Linked DNA regions of Rattus norvegicus. The protein of the gene in region 1 interacts with the protein of each later gene in a pairwise test. Links are inferred from orthologs where the notes say so. Each region holds a gene or a part of one and is shown in the gene's direction. Other genes may lie near its edges. The genes, in order: Dtnb, Sntg2, Spz1, Begain and Dmd.

Region 1 (4,217 bases):
GAAGGATTCTATAAAAAAATGGCAATATGAGGGGCTGGAGAGATGGCTCAGCAAAGAGCACTTGCTATGTTATCCGAGGACCTGCGTTTGATTCCCCAGCATCCATCCACACTTCACAGTTCCAGGGGATCCAAAACACTCTTCTGGCCTCCGGGGGCACTCACGGGGTGCAAACATTGCAGCCCAAACACTCATACACATAAAATAAAACATAAATGCTTTAAAAAAGGATAGATGAGTTGGTAATAAATATAGATACATAAATAAATGAAGCTTTGTCGCCCCTGCTCCCTTGTCCAAGCTGTTTAATGTCCAAATACTCCCACTTTCAGGAACTACTGAACGACTAAGCGGAAAGTAATCTGTCCCTCCTCATCCTCTCACCGCATCCGGCTGTGGCTTGCCTTTGCGCAGAGGACCGGACTCGGTCCTTCGCAAGGCTGCTCTTCTCCCTAAGTTATGCGCTCTTGGGGACCAGGGCCGTGACCCAGATCGTGTCCACCGGGCACCAGGCGCATGAGTTAGTGCTCAAACGAGCCTGCTGAGGCAATGTGGAAAGTCACTCGGGGGAGGACCCGGCGCTCGAGGCGCGGGTGAATGATTCACCGGGTATTTCTTCGCATTCCTTACGGTTCAGTCACGTCGGCGCAGCACCCAGCCGCCCGGCAGCTACCTGTGGAGTGGAAGCGCACCTCCGCCTCCACCTCCGCCTCCGCGGCCAGCGCACAGCAGAGGCCCGGAGGGGGCGCGCAAACCCGCGGGAGGGCACTCGGCCGCCTCCCCGCCCCCTCTGGCGGCGGAAGCCCCGCCCCTCCGCGCGCCCGCCCTCCGCGCGCACCCGCCCTCGCCCTCGCCCTCGCGCCCTCGCGCCGGGGGCGGGCTCGCTGCGCGTGCCGGGCGGGGAAGCGGCGCGAGCCGGCGCCAGGAACGTTCGCCGCGGGGGCGGCTCCGGGGCCTGAGTGGGCGCCGCCGCCTCAGTCGCTGCCGCTGCTTCAGCTGCCTCTGCCGAGGGGGCCGGGTCGGAGGAGGCTGCGGCCGCCGGAGAGCCACGCGACGGCCCCTCAGCTTCGGCCGGGAAGCGAGCCAGGTGGGGAGTCCGCCGGGGCTGGAGGAGCGAAAAGGAGGGCTGCGGGGTGGCGGAGCGCGCGGCCCTGGAACGGCGACCCTTGGGAGACCGCACGCCGGGCCGGAGAGGGCTCTCCGGTCACCCGGGCGCGCGGGGGGCCGCGGAGCGCAGAACCCGGCTGCGCGCGCTGCTGATGCAGCCTGAGCCGGACTTGCGGGGAGGAGGCTCAGCGTTAGGTGCTGAAGGGGGCGAAGGCGGCAGGTCCTGGCAGAGGGCAGGTGAGGTAGGCAGGCCCTGGCAGAGGGGAGGGAATTCATTCCAGATCACCTCTCAGTGTCTCCCGAGGCTCCCGGTAGACGAACCTGTCTACTCAGGTCACCTCTGATGGGCACAGTGTCCCGAGAAGAGCGAGGATGCAGCTGACGAATGCTTACTGTTAAATTCCTGTGCCAGGCCTTGGGGAATCAGGGAGACCTTTCTAGCATTCTCTGCAAGCGTTTATTGATTAGCTACGGAGCAGGAGAGAACCGCGGTCAGCGCCCGGGTCACGACTTTATCACTCTCAACCATCATTTATTTGCTGTTGAAGTGCTGACAGTCCGGCTGTGAAAGTATACACACAAAATGTAAAGTGCTCTATTTTATGTTTCTTGTTCTGTTCACTTCAGGTCTCTTTAGGATTTTCCCAGCCCTGGGAAACTGGGCCGTAAGTTGCTTGGCTTGTGGAGAAAGTAAGATACTTGAGGAAAGCTGGTGGGAGCTATTGGGAAGAGATTTGAAGGGTCTTACTGACATTTAAAAGAGAGGGGAAAGAAATTTGGAAGGAGAATCTTGCCTTCCCAACTAGAATTAAGCTCCGCGCCTGTTTTCTGCCCAGTCCTCAGGATGTGGCCTGGATCCCGAAAGCCCTACAATGGATGCCCACTGCAGGAGTGGATGGAGGGACCAGGGTTTGATACATTTGATATGAAGTAGTGTCAGTCTCTGTAGAGTTAGGGATGCTCGCTGGCTTCCTTTGGTCCTAGGATTCTCTTTTTGCCTTCTCAGGTAACCCAGGGTTTTAGACGCTAAACCAGTGGCTTAGGTGGCAGACTCCGGTGGCTTGTGGCCACTTCTTCATCCACGCGGTTCTTGTATGTTGTGCACCAGAAGCTTGTTCTTTGGGTGGCTGCTTGAAGTCAGGTTCCGGTCCTTCTCTCATTGGCCTTTTCCCCCCTCCTCTGTCGTTTGAGGAGGACTGGAGGGAGCTTTTGCCTAGAGAACACTTTATAATTTCTATCCTGCCTCTTGGATCTTGGTTCTGAGGTGAGAGAATGCTTAAGTCTCTTCAGGTCTGTAAGGGCTGGAGTTCTGTCCTCTGCCTTGCTTGGACTCTCCAGCCCCATACTGCTGCTTCCTTTCCCTGGCTTGCAATGCCTGTTGGATTACTTTGCTTGCCAAATTAAAACTTGACCTTTTATGTGTTCTCTGAGGATTTTTATCAGACTTAAGTGGAACTGCCTCTGAAGGGGTTGTGCAGGCAAGGTGGTGCTGGCAGGGTCTTTAGCTTCACTGAATTTTGCCCGGGAGACAGAATATAGTTAAAATATTAGAGTGCGCAGGATTTCCAGTTACCCTTTATTTCATGTCTTCAGATGTTAACATATCTGACCCTTAGTCTCCTTATATAAAAAATAAGAGCAATATTAATCCAAATTTGTCATTGGATATATAGAAGCCTTGAAGTATATTCATTTAGTTCATTTTAATTAGTATTTGCATTTCAGGGTACAACCATTAAGTCTCTCTTAGGTTTTGTTTTGGGGTGCCTATGTGGCTTTGCAAATTTGGGTGTCTTGTTTCGGGCACTTCTAATATTTTATTTAGATATTTAATTTACATTTATTTGAAAATAAACCCTCTACCCCCGGTTTTTGAAGCAGGGTCTTGCTGAGTAGTAACCCCAGCTATATTGGTACTCGAAATACAGTAGCCCAGGCTGTAAGTTGACTTTGAACTGTGGCTATCCTTCTGTTAGTCCTTCCTGTGAAGCACCATGGCTGGTTAAAACAAACTTTTTGTTTGTTTGGGTTAAAGATAGGGTCTCTCTCTGTCATTCTGACTTTGAACTTATGTCTATTCTCCTATCTATGTGTCCTGGGATTACAGGTGTGCACTACTGTGCCTTCTTCATGTGTAGTTTACATAGGATAAAATGGATAGACTTTGCATATTGAGTTGGGTATTTTGAAAAAATGGTACATATTGGTGGGCATGGTGGCATATGTCTTTAGATTGAAGTCCTTAGGAGGCAGAGGCAAGCTGATCACTTCAAGTCCAGCTAGGGTTACATAGGAAGACACTGTTTCAACAACAACAAAAAAAGCAAAACAAAGTAACAAAAGTCCCTCCCCCAAGAAAACAAACAAAAAAAGAAAAGACATGTGTACTTTGTAACCTATCCCAATCAAAATATATACTTTTGTATCATGAGAAAGTTAACTCCTGCTGTCTTGGGGACAACCCCTCCCTCTATTTTATTAACTTAAAATTACATAAGCATTAGAGCTGTGGTTTCTAGATGTGCTGGAGGTACGCTGCTGTTCTAGGGTGTCTTTTGCACTGGAGTCTCTCTGTGCTGGCAGCTCCTGGAGTTGCAGTAGTTTGAGCAGTTCAGAATGCATATTTGCTTGTAAATTGCTCCAAATAAAACTCCCTTGACATACCTACTCCTTTTTCTACTCCGGTTACCAGTTTGTTGTTTTCTTCCCAGGCCTTTTTCTATGCATTTTACTTTTTTTGCATGTGTATGTGGTATGGGGGAGTCTGCATATGGTATCCATGTACCATACATTGTATATGCCTGTGAAAGCCCAGAGTTGACACTGGAGGTTCTCAGTTGCTCTCTTACTTATTTATTAAGTTCAGCCTCCTCCTGAACCTGGAGCTGGCCAATTTGGCTAGTCTAGCCAGTCAGCTCGTTCTGATGACTCCTGTCTGTCTCTAGAGCGCTGGCATTGTAGGTGGCTGCTATACCTGCCTGGCTTGTATGCGGGTTCTAGAGATTTGAACTCCAATTCGTATATTTGCGTGGCAAGTGCGTTATCCACTGAGTCATTTCCAGCTCTCTTTGCATTTTACTATAGCATTCTGTCTAGGTTGCTCTGTAGAC
Region 2 (3,517 bases), about 20 Mb from region 1:
GTCTGTCTCTGTACCAATACCATGCAGTTTTTATCACTATTGCTCTGTAATACTGCTTGAGTTCAGGGATAATGATTCCCCCTGAAGTCCTTTTATTGTTGAGGATAGCTTTAGCTATCCTGGGTTTTTTGTTATTTCAGATGAATTTGCAAATTGTTCTGTCTAACTCTTTGAAGAATTGGATTGGTATTTTGATGGGGATTGCATTGAATCTGTAGATTGCTTTTGGTAAAATGGGCATTTTTACTATATTAATACTGCCAATCCATGAGCATGGGAGATCTTTCCATCTTCTGAGGTCTTCTTCAATTTCCTTCTTCAGTGTCTTGAAGTTCTTATTGTACAGATCTTTTACTTGCTTTGTTAAAGTCACACCGAGGTACTTTATATTATTTGGGTCTATTATGAAGGGTGTCGTTTCCCTAATTTCTTTCTCGTTAGACAGCCTTATGTCAATCACCTCCCCTTGTTCACACTGAAGCAAGGACCCCAGGGCTTCTCTGGAGCTCCACTATAGATCCTAATTGTATGCACTAGGGCACCCCATCCCCTATCAGCACTGAGTGTGTTGGTGCTTAATGGCGTGTTAGGTTTCAGGTGGTAAGGTGGGCTGCAAACTAACTACATCTAAGATGCCTATAAAATGATAACTAAGATTTCAACCAGAGCAAACCTTCTTTCCCATCTGACCTGCTTTCCTTGTGCCTATTGAATTTGAAGCAGCTCTTAGTGAGGGAGCTCAGTGTGGATCCTCACTTTGGTAAGGCTAGTTCATTATACCTGTTGTTGACTAGAGGATTAAGACTGTCTGCTTTTTCACAAGGGTGTCACAGCTGAGCATAGCACAGCACGTGCTGAAAGCACCTGGCCCCTGCTGGAGTCCCAACCAGGTGTCATGCTCTAGCTGACTGGCTCCCTGGTGTTGTCCCTTTTGCTGGTGTCATTCTCCAGCTGACCTGCTCCCTGGTATCCTCCCTCCTGCTGCAGGTCCAGTGCATTGGAGGTGCTGGCCCTGGACGGAGCCAGCACAGGAGCCCTTCAGTTCTCCACTGCCCAGGACTGTGCGGATTGGTTGCGTGCAATCTCAACCAACATCAATGAACTGACGCTTCAACATGTGAGCAAAAAGCCCAGGGCTTACTCCCTCACTTGTTTGCATTTGCAGTAATGATGAGAAGTTTCCAAGGATAATTAACCCACTGTAAGGTTAGGTCTGCATACAGAACATACACTCGTTTCAATTGATCAGCAATCCAGCTCAAATAACTAAAACTTAACCTATTAAAATGTGTTTAGATACAAACATTGGAAACTTCCAGGCTAGATCCCTCTCTGTCTTTCTCTCCATCCCTTCCCTCTCATTCTTTCTCTTGTCATATACACACACAGGGATCTCTCTCTCTCTCTCTCTCTCTCTCTCTCTCTCTCTCTCTCTCTGCATTTCTCTCTCTCCCTCTCCCTTTCCTTCTCCCCTCCCCCCATCTCTGTCTCTGTTTCAAACTATCTTAATACAACGTGGCATTTGGATAAACTACTAACTGGGATAAAAATATGATACACACACCCTGGTTTTCCTCTGGCCTTCCCAAGTATGTGCACACATAAACATGAGCACAAACATTTACACACACACACACACACACACACACACACACACTTATTTTAAAAAATAAAAATAAAAAGGGCATACCTAACCAAATATACTGGTCCAGAAAGAAGCATTCTATGCCTTGGGTGATAAGTTTAATGTTCGAAGTCAGTAAGATTTGTAAAAGAAAGAATAAGTGGAGATGAGCTGGGGAAGGGAACATCAACTGCTTGCTGAGTCTCTCATGAAGTACTGCAAGCTGTATCCATGTAGCTGTGGCAGGACTGGCCCACAGCCAAGGACTTGGCCCAGTTCCCATCTTCGTTCCCTCCCAATACCCATGCTATGCTGTATGTTTGCTCCACATTCCTTTATCTGCGCTTGGCAGCTTGATGCAACCTGTGATGCCCTGCATCACACAGCCTAGTGCCTGCTGGCCCCTCCTTCCTCAGCTCCTGCCTGTCCTGGCCAGTGCTGGAGAGAAGTTAGCTGAATAATCTGAGATGCTTACAGATGCGGTCATATGAGAGATCCACTCTGAAGGCATGAGACTTATCCTTTAATGGTGTAAAAATAAACACATTCCTACAGTCCCACTTTCAATATTCCATACATTGAATCCCTATGATATTGGATGGATAATTTTTTAATTAAATAACTAAATAGATAAATGAGCAAACAGAAAGGAGACAGTTAGGACTGGATTAACATTAGAATTAATGCTAGTGAGTGCATAGTTCTCCTGATTGGGTGACCATCACAGGTGACCCTTGGGCAGCATGGCAGGGTAGACATGTGGGCTCACAGCACAGAGTGAATCTCCCTATGAACTTCCATTCCTTCACAGTAAAATTGTTGAAAGTCACATCTACATGTCTACATGGTTCTGAGACTTATGTATGGAATGGACTACTCACTGTGGGCATTGGTCATTGTAATATGACACAGAGTAGAGGCCACCTTCCTTTTTTTTTTTTTCAACATGGTAGAGTCTAAGCATCTATCATCCCCCAGCTGCCCTCACTTCGAGGACTCGTATTTGGGAATGATGACATTAAGGAGCCTGTGCCCGTCGTTTTGTTTCATTGTTTTCCTGCTTTGAGAATTGCTGCGATAAATTTGTATTTGCTCTGATTTGAAGATAAGCACAGCATAGAGGAAACTCATCTCCAAGGAACTTTCCTGGGCTGGTTAATTTCAGCTGCCATTTAGACAAGCTGAGAAATGAAGGCACTAGCGTGCGTGGCACACTGACCCCTTGCTGTCTTCCTTCTACAGATGAAAATGGCAAACAAATGCTGTTCTCCCTGTGACCAGGTAGGTGTATGACTTCAGCCCAGTAGGATAACCAACCCCCAAAGCGGCTGCTTCCTTTTGTGGAATTTAGATAGGAAAATGCTAGGGAGAATCATACCGAATTTGGTAGACTCTGTCACATGGGTGAACTCAAAGCTCTTTATTTATCTGGGAACACACTGGGGGACCGTTCTGATCACCTGTGTTTACAGAGATAAATGATGCCTGTGGGTTGTGCTCAGTAGAAAATGTGATCTGAACAGGATTTAGAGAGGGCTATAAGAGAGCCCAAAGAGCATTCAGGATGGAGAAAGGCCTGTGTGACTTAGGATCATTTTGTTGTATAATGTTATTGACTCAATGAGAGTTTATTCTGGAGCCAAATCTCAATAACCATGGCCCACAAACACATGTGGAGGTCTCCCCCCCCCCCAATCCCATATTCCAGTTTAGTAACAGTTTCATGAAGCTTTCACGGTAACAGAACAGAGAAAATCATAAGTCAAGCTACTTTTAGAATACAGCAATGTGAGCATCCAGTTGGTTGTTTAAAGCAAAATAGGAAAGTCTGGTAGGTTTCACATGTGGCATTCTGGTGACATTCTTAGCTGTGGAACTGGCGGTAGCTAGTGG
Region 3 (3,252 bases), on another chromosome or scaffold:
CCAATTGGAGCCTGGGGATATAGTTCGGAGGCAGAACACTCACGTACCATATAGAAGCCTTGGGTTTCTTGCCCGGTATGCTCACACGTGCATGTGCGTGTACACGGGCACACACACACACACACACACACACACACACACACACACACACACACACAGACAGAGACAGAGAGAGAGTTTATAACTGTGCTGTTGACTCATTCCAATAGCTTCGTAACATTCAGCAGACTATGAATGAAAGTGTTTCTGACATTAGTATCCTAAAATCACTAAAGATGGAGCACTTTGAGACTTCTGCTTGGTATCCTGTCACCACCATAGCAGCTCTTACAAAAAAAAAAAAAAAGGCATTTAATCAGGGCTGGCTTACAGTTTCAGTGGTTTCCATTGTCATCACAGCGGGAAGCATGGTGACAGGCAGGCAGAGAGGGTGCAGGAGGAGGAGCTGAGAGTTCTACATCTAGATCTGTGGGCAGCAGGAAGAGAAGTAGACTCGGGGCTTGCAATAGATTTTTCTGACCCCTCAAAGCCTACCCCCTAGGTAATACACTTCCTTCAACAAGGCCATACTTCCTAATCCTTACAGTGTTGCTCCCTGGTGACCAAGTTTTCAAATCTGAGTCTGTGGAGGCCATTCTCATTAAAACCTCCCCGCATTCTCTCCCACCCCAGGAGCAACACTTTCCCCTTCTGTGAAAGAGTCCTCACTCAGCCTGATGAGCTTTCTCTCAACTATACACACACACACACACACACACACACACACACACACACGTGTGTATATAGGTATATATAGATATAGATGTATATGTATATATATTTAGGTGGAACACTGTGGTTGCAGTTGGCTCTGTATGGTATGGTGAGGTTGGAGGTAGGAGGGTGAGGAGGGAAATTACTGTAATGCCGTTAGAATGAAGAGCTGAGAAAAGAGGGGCAGGCTAGTGGAGAGGTCTCATGAGGGAGGAGTAAGGTTGGTTGTGGTGTCTGAGTCGTGGGACAGGAGTTTAAGGGACTTCCATTGTGATGTAAAGGAAACAGAATGTGTTGCCCCAGAGGGGCAATGACAGAATAAAGACCCAGTTGCTGGGGCCTTGGAAAAAATACCAGAAGCCTAGCAGAAGGGAGATGGAGCTTCAGCTCCCGGTCTCCCTTCCCAACCCCTCCCCCTGGGCTGTTTGAGATGTAACCTTCTACCTGAACACCATCTCCCTGGTCTCAGTCCTTAACTCTGGTCCATAATTCCTGCTTGGTACCATCTCCACCGACTCACAGGAGACTGCCATCTGTCCTTCCTGGAATCTCTAAGGTTTCTGCTTTCCTCAGGTCCCAATGGCAGACAGTGACAGCTCATCTGAGATGCCTGCCCATTCTCCATCTCCTAGCCCTATTCCTTGTGCTAAGCAAAAACCACCGAATACTGGGATCACCATTTCCCTCCTTGAAATCGGATCACTCCCCACTTTCTGCTGCAGCTCCTTCTCAGAACCAAATAATAATATGTGTCCAATAAGAAAACAAGGGAAGGTACAGAAATTTAGCAATCTCTTAAAAGACGTTAAAGATGTTCTTAAAAACATAGCAGGCTTTGAAGAGAAGACTACAGATGGGGATCCTTTTGATGATACCTATATTCCTGAAGACCTGTCAGAACTTAACATCAGAGGTTTTGATAAGAGAAATAAACTTCGATTTAAAGATGATCTATTCATTCATTTCGACCCAGAGAGAGAAAACACAATGAGGCAGGAGATGTTATTCAAAAGCCATAGTGCTAAGAACATGGTACAAAAGTTTGCAAGGGACCTGTGCAATTCAGAAGAAAAGAGAGGCTGTGACGGCGTGCAGCTGAACGCGAAAAGACGTCGGACTGGGTCAGTTCACATTCGTGGAGAGTACAGAAAACTCAGGAACAATATGGAGCAGTTACTGCAGGAAGCAGACCACTGGAGTAAACAGCACAATGAACTCAGCGAACTCATGAGATCATATCAGGAATGCCATAAAGAAATCAAAGACATTGTTGACTGCAGTCGAGTCTGTTCGCAAACCCAAAACAACAACGAGGTACCCTCCAAGCAGAAACTGGAGGAGCAGGTGAAGAAACTGAGCCAAGACACCCACTCGCTGCATTTGATCGCAGCCCTGCTGGAGAACGAATGTCAGATCTTACAACAGAGGGTGGATATCCTCAGGGAATTACATCTCCACGAAGCAGGACCCGGGCACGAGAAGCCTTTGCAAACGTCTGGTGAGCAGGACAAGAAGTGTGGTGAGCAGGACAAGAAATGTGGCGAGCAGGACAAGAAATGTGGCGAGCAGGACAAGAAATGTCCGAAGTTAGCGGAAGCAGAAAAGATGGACGGTTCCAAGCATACTATGAAGACAACGGAAGGCACGATTACTAGGAAACCAAAGATCTTCAGGTGCCCTAATGATTGCCTTACTAAGAAGGCTCGAAATAACCGCTTCAACGCCCGCGTTGCAAAGAAATCTCTTGTGGGGAAAAGGAGAACCATTAGCAGCTTTAGGTAGAAGCCGCCACAAGCAGATCCAACTTGAGCCAAAACTGTTATCCACCCAGGGTAGATCTTCTGATTCCACCAAGGAGGAGGCATAGGATAAGAGAAACCCATATTATCTCAGTAGTTAGAGAAGTTTGGGCCTTAATAACTATTGTATGTATTGTTAACCAAGTGAAAATTTGGGTAAAAACAAGAATAAAAGGAAAGCACTTTATTGGTTTGATTGATTGTTTTCTTCTAATTTCTTTAACCACAACTTACAATGATCTAACTGTGATAGTTTAAAGCCTGTTTTCCTATTAGTATTTAGTTTCCCTATTCTGTTTGTGTGGAATATGTTGGAGTTAAGGGAGAAAAATAACTGAGGACAGGACAGGAAAACTACAGAGCTAAAGCATCCTAGAACGCTTCACCCCTCCTAACTCTAGCTCTGGCTCTACTCTCCCCGGTGTCCCTCTTCTGGTCCTCAGTTCATGCATGAGGGTACACTGGGGAGCCGAAGCCTCTGGGCGAAGGCCATCGTAACTTGATCAGAAGCTTAGAGGTGTTTCTAGACTCTTCCTTTTTGGTGTAAAAAAAAAAAAAGTAGAGGAAGTGAGCTTTCTGCTGTGGGTGGGGTGGAAACGAACCCTTTAAGGGAGCTGGACTTAAGTGTCAAAACAGACAGCGCAGGCACATTTTCTTGCTTCTCACTGAGCAAAAGCCACGTGGCATCATGGGCAGAGCA
Region 4 (2,878 bases), about 100 Mb from region 1:
TCTTTCTCTGTCTGCGATGTTGGTGTGGCCGTGGCCTCGGGGCCAGGGGTGAGCCTCTTTGCTATGACCTGTCCCCATTCTCCTCTCCTCCTCACGCCCGTTCCAGCTGCCCTCGGACTTCCAGCAGCGTGTGAGCCTGCATATGGAGAAGCATGGCTGCAGCCTGCCGTCCCCACTGTGCCATCCGTCCTACGCCGACAGCGTGCCCACCTGCGTCATCGCCAAGGTGCTGGAGAAGCCCGACCCTGGCAGCCTGTCCTCGCGCATGTCGGATGCCTCGGCCCGCGACCTGGCCTACCGCGACGGAGTGGAGAACCCGGGCCCGCGACCCCCGTACAAGGGAGACATCTACTGCAGCGACACGGCTCTCTACTGCCCTGACGAGCGAGATCACGACCGGCGGCCCAGCGTGGACACGCCGGTGACCGACGTGGGCTTCCTGCGTGCGCAGAATTCCACCGACAGCCTGGCGGAAGAGGAGGAGGCCGAGGCGGCGGCCTTCCCGGAGGCCTACCGTCGCGAGGCCTTCCAGGGCTACGCGGCCTCGCTGCCCACGTCCAGCTCCTACTCCAGCTTCAGCGCCACGTCCGAGGAGAAGGAGCACGCGCAGGCCAGCACGCTGACCGCCTCGCAGCAGGCCATCTACCTGAACAGCCGCGAAGAGCTCTTCAGCCGCAAGCCGCCCTCCGCCACCTACGGCAGCAGCCCTCGCTACGCCAAGGCCGCGGCCACCCTGGGCTCCCCGCTCGAGGCCCAGGTAGCCCCAGGCTTCGCTCGGACTGTGTCTCCGTACCCGGCCGAGCCCTACCGCTATCCGGCCTCCCAGCAGGCTCTCATGCCTCCCAACCTGTGGAGCCTGCGGGCCAAGCCGAGCGGTAACCGGCTTGCCGCCCGGGAGGACATTCGAGGCCAGTGGCGGCCCCTGAGCGTGGAGGATGTGGGCGCCTACTCTTACCAGGCCGGCGCTGCAGGCCGCGCCGCCTCGCCCTGCAACTTCTCAGAACGTTTCTACGGCGGCGGTGGCGGCGGCGGCAGCCCGGGCAAGAATGCCGAGGGCCGTGCCAGCCCCCTCTATGCCAGCTACAAAGCCGATAGTTTCTCGGAGGGCGATGACCTCTCCCAGGGTCATCTGGCCGAGCCCTGCTTCCTCCGAGCGGGTGGTGATCTGAGCCTCAGCCCCAGCCGTTCAGCTGATCCTCTCCCTGGCTATGCCACCAGTGACGGGGATGGGGATAGGCTCGGGGTGCAGCTGTGTGGGCCTGGCAGTAGCCCGGAGCCCGAGCACGGCTCCCGGGATTCCCTGGAGCCTAGCTCCATGGAGGCCTCTCCCGAAATGCACCCTCCAACCCGCCTCAGCCCCCAGCAGGCCTTCCCAAGGACTGGAGGCTCTGGGCTGAGCCGCAAGGACAGTCTCACTAAGGCCCAGCTCTACGGAACCCTGCTCAACTGACTGCCATCAGCAGGCTGCAGTCAGGGGCTCCCTACCACCCTGCCCCATATAGGGAGTAGCTAACCCCCTCGTCCCAACCCCTGCTAAGGAACTCCAGTTCCAGTTCCAGTTCCTGTTCCAGTTCCAGTTCCTGTTCCAGTTCCTGTTCCAGTTCCAGTTCCCGTTCCTGTTCCAGTTCCTGTTCCAGTTCCAGTTCCCGTTCCAGTTCCCGTTCCTGTTCCAGTTCCCGTTCCAGTTCCTGTTCCAGTTCCAGTTCCTCCTGACCCTGTTACTAACACCCCAGTAGAACCTGAAAAGACCCCCTCTGCCAATCGTCTTGTCCACCCCAGCCTCTGCTGCAAACCCTACCCAGAATATTTCCGCTCTGCACCCTTCCCTGAAGTGAGCATCCCCTGTTTTATAAGTGAAGCTATTTTTTTAGGGAAAAAGAGCGTTTGTTCACGCACTTGCTGCCAACTTCTGGATGGCAGCCTTGGCGTACCCCACACGAAGTTCCTTCATTTCCAGTGAGGGTGCTTGGGGCCTGCCCCAGGGAAGGGGAGGCTGGGGCCCTAGAGGGACCAGTCTCCACAAGTAGGGAGAAGCCAGCAACAAGGGAATTCTGAAGTTCTGAACACTGAGGAGGGGAACCAAAGCCACTTAGGGCGCAGAAAATGTCTTATGCTCGCTCCCGTGTCACAGTGCAGCCAGCACTCCGCCCTGATCCACCCTGAGCTCTTCCGTGGCCCGGCCTGTGGGCCCAAGAGGGGCCAGGGACACCCCCAGAACAGCCGGTGCTCGTTCCTCCCCTCCCCCTCCCAACACCACCCGACTCTACCTCAGACATGAGGCTCCTCCCACCCTTGTGCACCTGTCGTCTGTGATGCATGCCGTCCGTTAGAACTGTATTTCACATTCCTTAATAAAGGACAGCAGTGGAAAGAGCCCAGGCTTGCAGTGTTTCTTTCCCCGCAGCGTTAACCAGTACAGGAAGCAGGGACCTAGTGTCCCTCACTGGTCCCTGTCCAGCAGAGCCCTCAACTCTGCCCTCTGATGGCACTGTCTGTGACTCACCCTGCAGGGGGCTACACAGCTTACCTTCCAGCAAGCCAGTGTCTGCTCCACTGCCAAACAGAGACCGGGTGTGTCCGTGTCCACTCCAGGTGCCAACTTCTGCCATGTGCTCCTTGGTTGGCACAGATGCCCCGGGCCCTCATCCAGTTTTCTGTTCCCCTGAATTTCTGTCAAGCTCACCTCTTACTTCTGCAAAGCCAGCGGCCATTTAAGAGTCCAGGTCTGGCTCTTTAACCACATAAACTCAGTGGGTCTGTGTCTGTGCTTCCTGCTCATGTCACCCTGTTTCTTTCCATGCCTGGTTACCTGACACACGATCATTGTTCAACCCCTGAAAATGCATCGTGTGTTTTTCAACAAATCCTAGGACAGTGG
Region 5 (4,257 bases), on another chromosome or scaffold:
GAATACGTACACAGTGAAATTTTAACATATTATGAAGAAAAGTGCAATCATGACATTTAAAGAAAATTGGCCAGAAATGGAAATCATGTTGTTAAGCAAAATGAGCCAGACCCATCTCAAAAGAACAAATATAGTTTGTTCCCTTGCCTGTAAGAAATCTAAATGTGTGTGTGTGTGTGTGTGTGTGTGTGTGTGTGTGTGTGTGTGTGTGTGTGTGGTGTTGGGGTAGGACAGGGGTTATAAAATTAGAAAGGGAACCACGAAAAGAGAGGGAGAGTTTCTAAGCGAAGGAAGACAGGTGAAAGCATGAGATAATATAGGGTGAGGAAAAGCATGGCACATATGCCTACTAAACACATTGTACTCTAGTCTCTCTCTCCCATTACCCTATTTAATTTGCAAACTTATAATTATTATAAGACTCTAAAACAACTCAAGTAAGATGGTTATAATGGTAAAGCAAATACCTTTCTCACACTGTTATCAAAGTGTTTTAAAATATTGATCTTACTTGATACATAAATAATGAAGATGAATACAAATGCTTTGGTGGACAAAGAATCATTTACAAATGTCCTAGATGACCTATCAGAACTCTGTCCATTACTATTACAGGTTCGTTCGTTTGTTTGTTTGTTTTTGGTGTGTAGAGGTGACAATTAACTGATTATCTCAATATTTCATGGAATGGTTTTAATAATTATTACAGCAGAAATTGAGGAAGAATACATTTCTTGTAAAGTAGTCTTAACATAACTTACAACTGAAACTTGGTATTTTGCGAAGAATTCCCTGTTCTACTCACAAGAGGACTCTTTATTTTAGCGGAAACTTTGTCCCATCCTAAGACCTATTCACATTTTGCCTTCAGAACTCAGCTGCTCCATTCTACTCTTGCTTCTTTTAATCAGAATATTGGCATTATGCTACATAGTTTTGATTGGATCCCAAGGGTAAAAATTAATTTTGGTAGATATCAGATAGTTTAAAATGAATGGATTATTCTGGGAATTTTTTAATGTCCAGTAAAATAAAATGCCATTTTTTGGTAGTGTTGAGAAGAGAGAAAACAACAAAACAAAACAAAAACAAAAGACAGTTAAAAGTTAATTCTGGATCTGTATTTTCTGTTTATTCTTTTGGAAAGTAACATAAAAGTTACTAAAATATTGTGGCAACATTGCACTAATGTGCTTTTACATTTAGGGGACTTGGAGAGCAGGACTGAGATCCCTGTGCTATTCTAGTTTGGATGTGACTCAGGACAGAGTTGAACATTATTTGAATTCACAGAGCTTGCCATGCTGGAAGCACAGCCTTATATGTAGTGTCCATGGGCAGTCCTATTATGGCAAAGCAACTTGAGAGAAAAGGCGGGTCACTTGCTTGTGCGCAGGTCCTGGAATTTGAAATATCCAGAGGCCTCTACAGAATCCTGGCATCAGTTACTATGTTGACTCACTCAGTGTTGGGCTCACTCACTTGCCCCCTACAGAACTCAGCTCTTGAAGGCAATAGTCTTTATAGAAAAAACGAATAGGAAAACTTGAAGTGCTATTTTTTTTTCCAAGGCTGCTGAAGTTTATTGGCTTCTCATCGTACCTAAGCCTCCTGGAGCAATAAAACTGGGAGAAACTTTTACCAAGATTTTTATTCCTGCCTTGATATATACTTTCTCTTCCAAATGCTTTGGTGGGAAGAAGTAGAGGACTGTTGTAAGTACAAAGTAACTAAAAATATCTTAACTGTGGCATGACTTTCAGCTTGTGACAAGCTCACTGAGTAGGCAGATTGATTTAAGCTTATTACAGTAGCTTATGAAAAAGCATAAATTTTGTCATCTGTGTACTTTATTATCTATCTGTCTGTCTGTCTATATGTGTTTATGTATTATATATAATATATATATATATAGAGTATATATATATATATATTCTAGTGTATGTGTTCCACACTGAAACATTTTGAGGAGATATTAGGAAGAGTTGTGGGGGTTTGTTACTATAATTTGTTTGCCTTTTGCAATAGAGACACACATTGTTCTTGTTTAAGAAACCACTAAATAATATATGCATAGCTTGCTTTGAGTGCATGAAACAGACCATTTTGATTATTGTGAGGTAGATTATGTATCTCTGTTTTTATTTTAGTTGCTATTTTTTTGTAATGGTTTTGTAGACAGTTGTGAACTGACATGTATTTCAGTGAACTAATTCTTTATGGAAATAAGTGAGCCCTGAAGTTTGAAAAGGTTTTATCTGGCACACCATAGGGGAAAGTAAAGAAAATAGGTTGTCTTTGACAGTGTACATGAAGATAGAATTTCTAAGTTTTTTTTTTAAATTATACTTCATCTTTTGAATATACTGCTCTTTGTCATATTGTGATTATTCTTTAAATAATGGTACAATTCATGCTGGAAAATAACCATGCAGTGTGTTGATCTAAAAACAAAATAAAAACTAGAAAGCTTGTAATCCCATTTTGTAGTAAGTCATTTGGTGATTCATGTTGACTGTGACCTAGCAGTTCAGTAAAACTTTTAGATCAGACCTTTATTTAAAAATGTCTTCCACTTAGTCTTAAAGAGTCAGCTGTGACTAATGATTTTAAAAATTGACCCAAACACAACAACAAAAATAACATAAAAATAATCCATCATGAAGCCAGTGTGTCCCAGAGATATGGTTGAAGATTATCATTTTCTCACTATTTTTGACTTGTGAACTGTAGTCATGCTTATAATTAAGAATGAAGATAGAAATCTTCATAAATGGCTAATGATCCATGACTCACAAATTCTAGAAAAGAAAAGTCAAGCACATACTCAGAAAAAGGTTGTGGAAATCAAGGTTATGCATGCACTGATTTTATATAGATGCTCCTCCATTTCACTGTATACCACCTGTTTCTGTGGTTGCTTCCAACATTTCTTTTGTGAGCTTCACTATTATTTCCTAAAGGAAAAGCTGCTCTGTTTTATTTCAGTGCAAAATACATGAAGCACTTACATATTTTTGTAACACATAGGTATACACAATTCAATTATATCTTTTGATGTCTTTTGTATTAACTTATAAATATTATTGAGATAATTCGTTGGAGATAATTAAGCCTTCAAAACAAAAATAAAAAAACCAGTGCCCAGAGCACTGTTGAAGACTATTGATTAGAAATGCAGTTCTTAAGTGGAGAAAGGCAAGCTTATGCTCAGCTGTGCTATAGACAGCATTTCTAAACAGTGAAATAATGCTTCTGCAAAATAGCAGTAGGTTTAAGGGAAAAAAAAGTTGTTCTAATGGTTATGGTGCACGAAAGCTTTTGCTATTTTAACAGTGAACTAGCTGGGTGTTTTGATATTTGAGTCTTGTATCTCAATTTGCTTAAGATTTTAAGACTTTGAAGAACATATTTAATTGTTTTGAAATCTCAAAACATTACTGTTCGAATGAAAAGGTTATGGCATTAAGACAAAGATTTACATTTAGCATTACACATATAATTTAGAATATTCAAGTAGTCCATTGCAAGTAGACATTTCATTCAGATATTTAAATGGCACAATTTGTCTTGAAGTCTAACAAAGTTATATTTTAGAATTTTAATTATAAGATCTCTTAAGGGCATGTTAACTGAAAAAAGAAAATCCTCTTTAAATTCATGATATAATTTCTAATTTAATAAGAGGATTTTTCTTGTCTTTTTATATAATATCAATATGGAAATTATAATGTGTTACATTGATGTTGTTCCTTTATTTTAAAATGTTTATGGAACATTATATCCAAAATTAAGTAATTTTTAAAAATACACAGAAATATAGTTTAGCATTCATCACTGAAGATAAGTTTTTGATGTGCAAATAAATAATTTACATGTATATAGTACAGATTTGGATTTGTTTCAGTAAGAAGCAATGGTTTTTTCTTCTTTATTTTTTTAACTTCTTTATTGGATATTTTATGTATTTACATTTCAAATGTTATACCCTTTCCTGGTTTCCTCTCAAGAACCCGCCTCTCCCACCCCCCCCCATTTCTATGAGGGTGCTCCCCTCCCACACACCCATTCCCACTTCCCTGCCCTGGCATTCCCCTACACTGGGGAAATTGAGCCTTCACAGGACCAAGGACTTCTCCTATTTTGATGCCAGACAATGCCATCCTCTGCTACATATGCGGCTGGAGCCAAGGGTCCGTCCATGAATAATTTTTGGTTGGTTTTCATTCTATCTCAGAAAGACGTGCTTTTGTCCTA

The links.
Region 2: the proteins of Dtnb (region 1) and Sntg2 interact in binary tests that used the Homo sapiens proteins (3 or more experiments, as listed by UniProt). The link is inferred for Rattus norvegicus from reciprocal best matches to the Homo sapiens genes DTNB and SNTG2.
Region 3: the proteins of Dtnb (region 1) and Spz1 interact in binary tests that used the Homo sapiens proteins (3 or more experiments, as listed by UniProt). The two-hybrid records come from large-scale screens. The link is inferred for Rattus norvegicus from reciprocal best matches to the Homo sapiens genes DTNB and SPZ1.
Region 4: the proteins of Dtnb (region 1) and Begain interact in binary tests that used the Homo sapiens proteins (3 or more experiments, as listed by UniProt). The two-hybrid records come from large-scale screens. The link is inferred for Rattus norvegicus from reciprocal best matches to the Homo sapiens genes DTNB and BEGAIN.
Region 5: the proteins of Dtnb (region 1) and Dmd interact in binary tests that used the Homo sapiens proteins (3 or more experiments, as listed by UniProt). The link is inferred for Rattus norvegicus from reciprocal best matches to the Homo sapiens genes DTNB and DMD.

What each region holds. Positions count from the first base shown.
Region 1 is NC_086024.1:32,285,075-32,289,291, forward strand, and holds the start of Dtnb (dystrobrevin beta), read left to right. Parts: upstream 1-1,407; 5' UTR 1,408-1,677; exon of another isoform or gene 1,678-1,692; intron 1,693-4,217.
Region 2 is NC_086024.1:52,587,972-52,591,488, reverse strand, and holds part of Sntg2 (gamma-2-syntrophin), read left to right. Parts: intron 1-987; coding exon 988-1,117; intron 1,118-2,866; coding exon 2,867-2,905; intron 2,906-3,517. UniProt on the Homo sapiens protein: Adapter protein that binds to and probably organizes the subcellular localization of a variety of proteins. May link various receptors to the actin cytoskeleton and the dystrophin glycoprotein complex.
Region 3 is NC_086020.1:25,531,284-25,534,535, reverse strand, and holds Spz1 (spermatogenic leucine zipper protein 1), read left to right. Parts: upstream 1-1,142; 5' UTR 1,143-1,332; coding exon 1,333-2,535; 3' UTR 2,536-2,739; downstream 2,740-3,252. UniProt on the Homo sapiens protein: Transcription factor that binds to the DNA sequence 5'-CANNTG-3'(E box) and the G-box motif. May play an important role in the regulation of cell proliferation and differentiation during spermatogenesis.
Region 4 is NC_086024.1:133,707,506-133,710,383, reverse strand, and holds the end of Begain (brain-enriched guanylate kinase-associated protein), read left to right. Parts: intron 1-106; coding exon 107-1,450; 3' UTR 1,451-2,374; downstream 2,375-2,878. UniProt on the Homo sapiens protein: May sustain the structure of the postsynaptic density (PSD).
Region 5 is NC_086039.1:51,204,646-51,208,902, forward strand, and holds the start of Dmd (dystrophin), read left to right. Parts: upstream 1-1,440; 5' UTR 1,441-1,684; coding exon 1,685-1,715; intron 1,716-4,257. UniProt on the Homo sapiens protein: Anchors the extracellular matrix to the cytoskeleton via F-actin. Ligand for dystroglycan.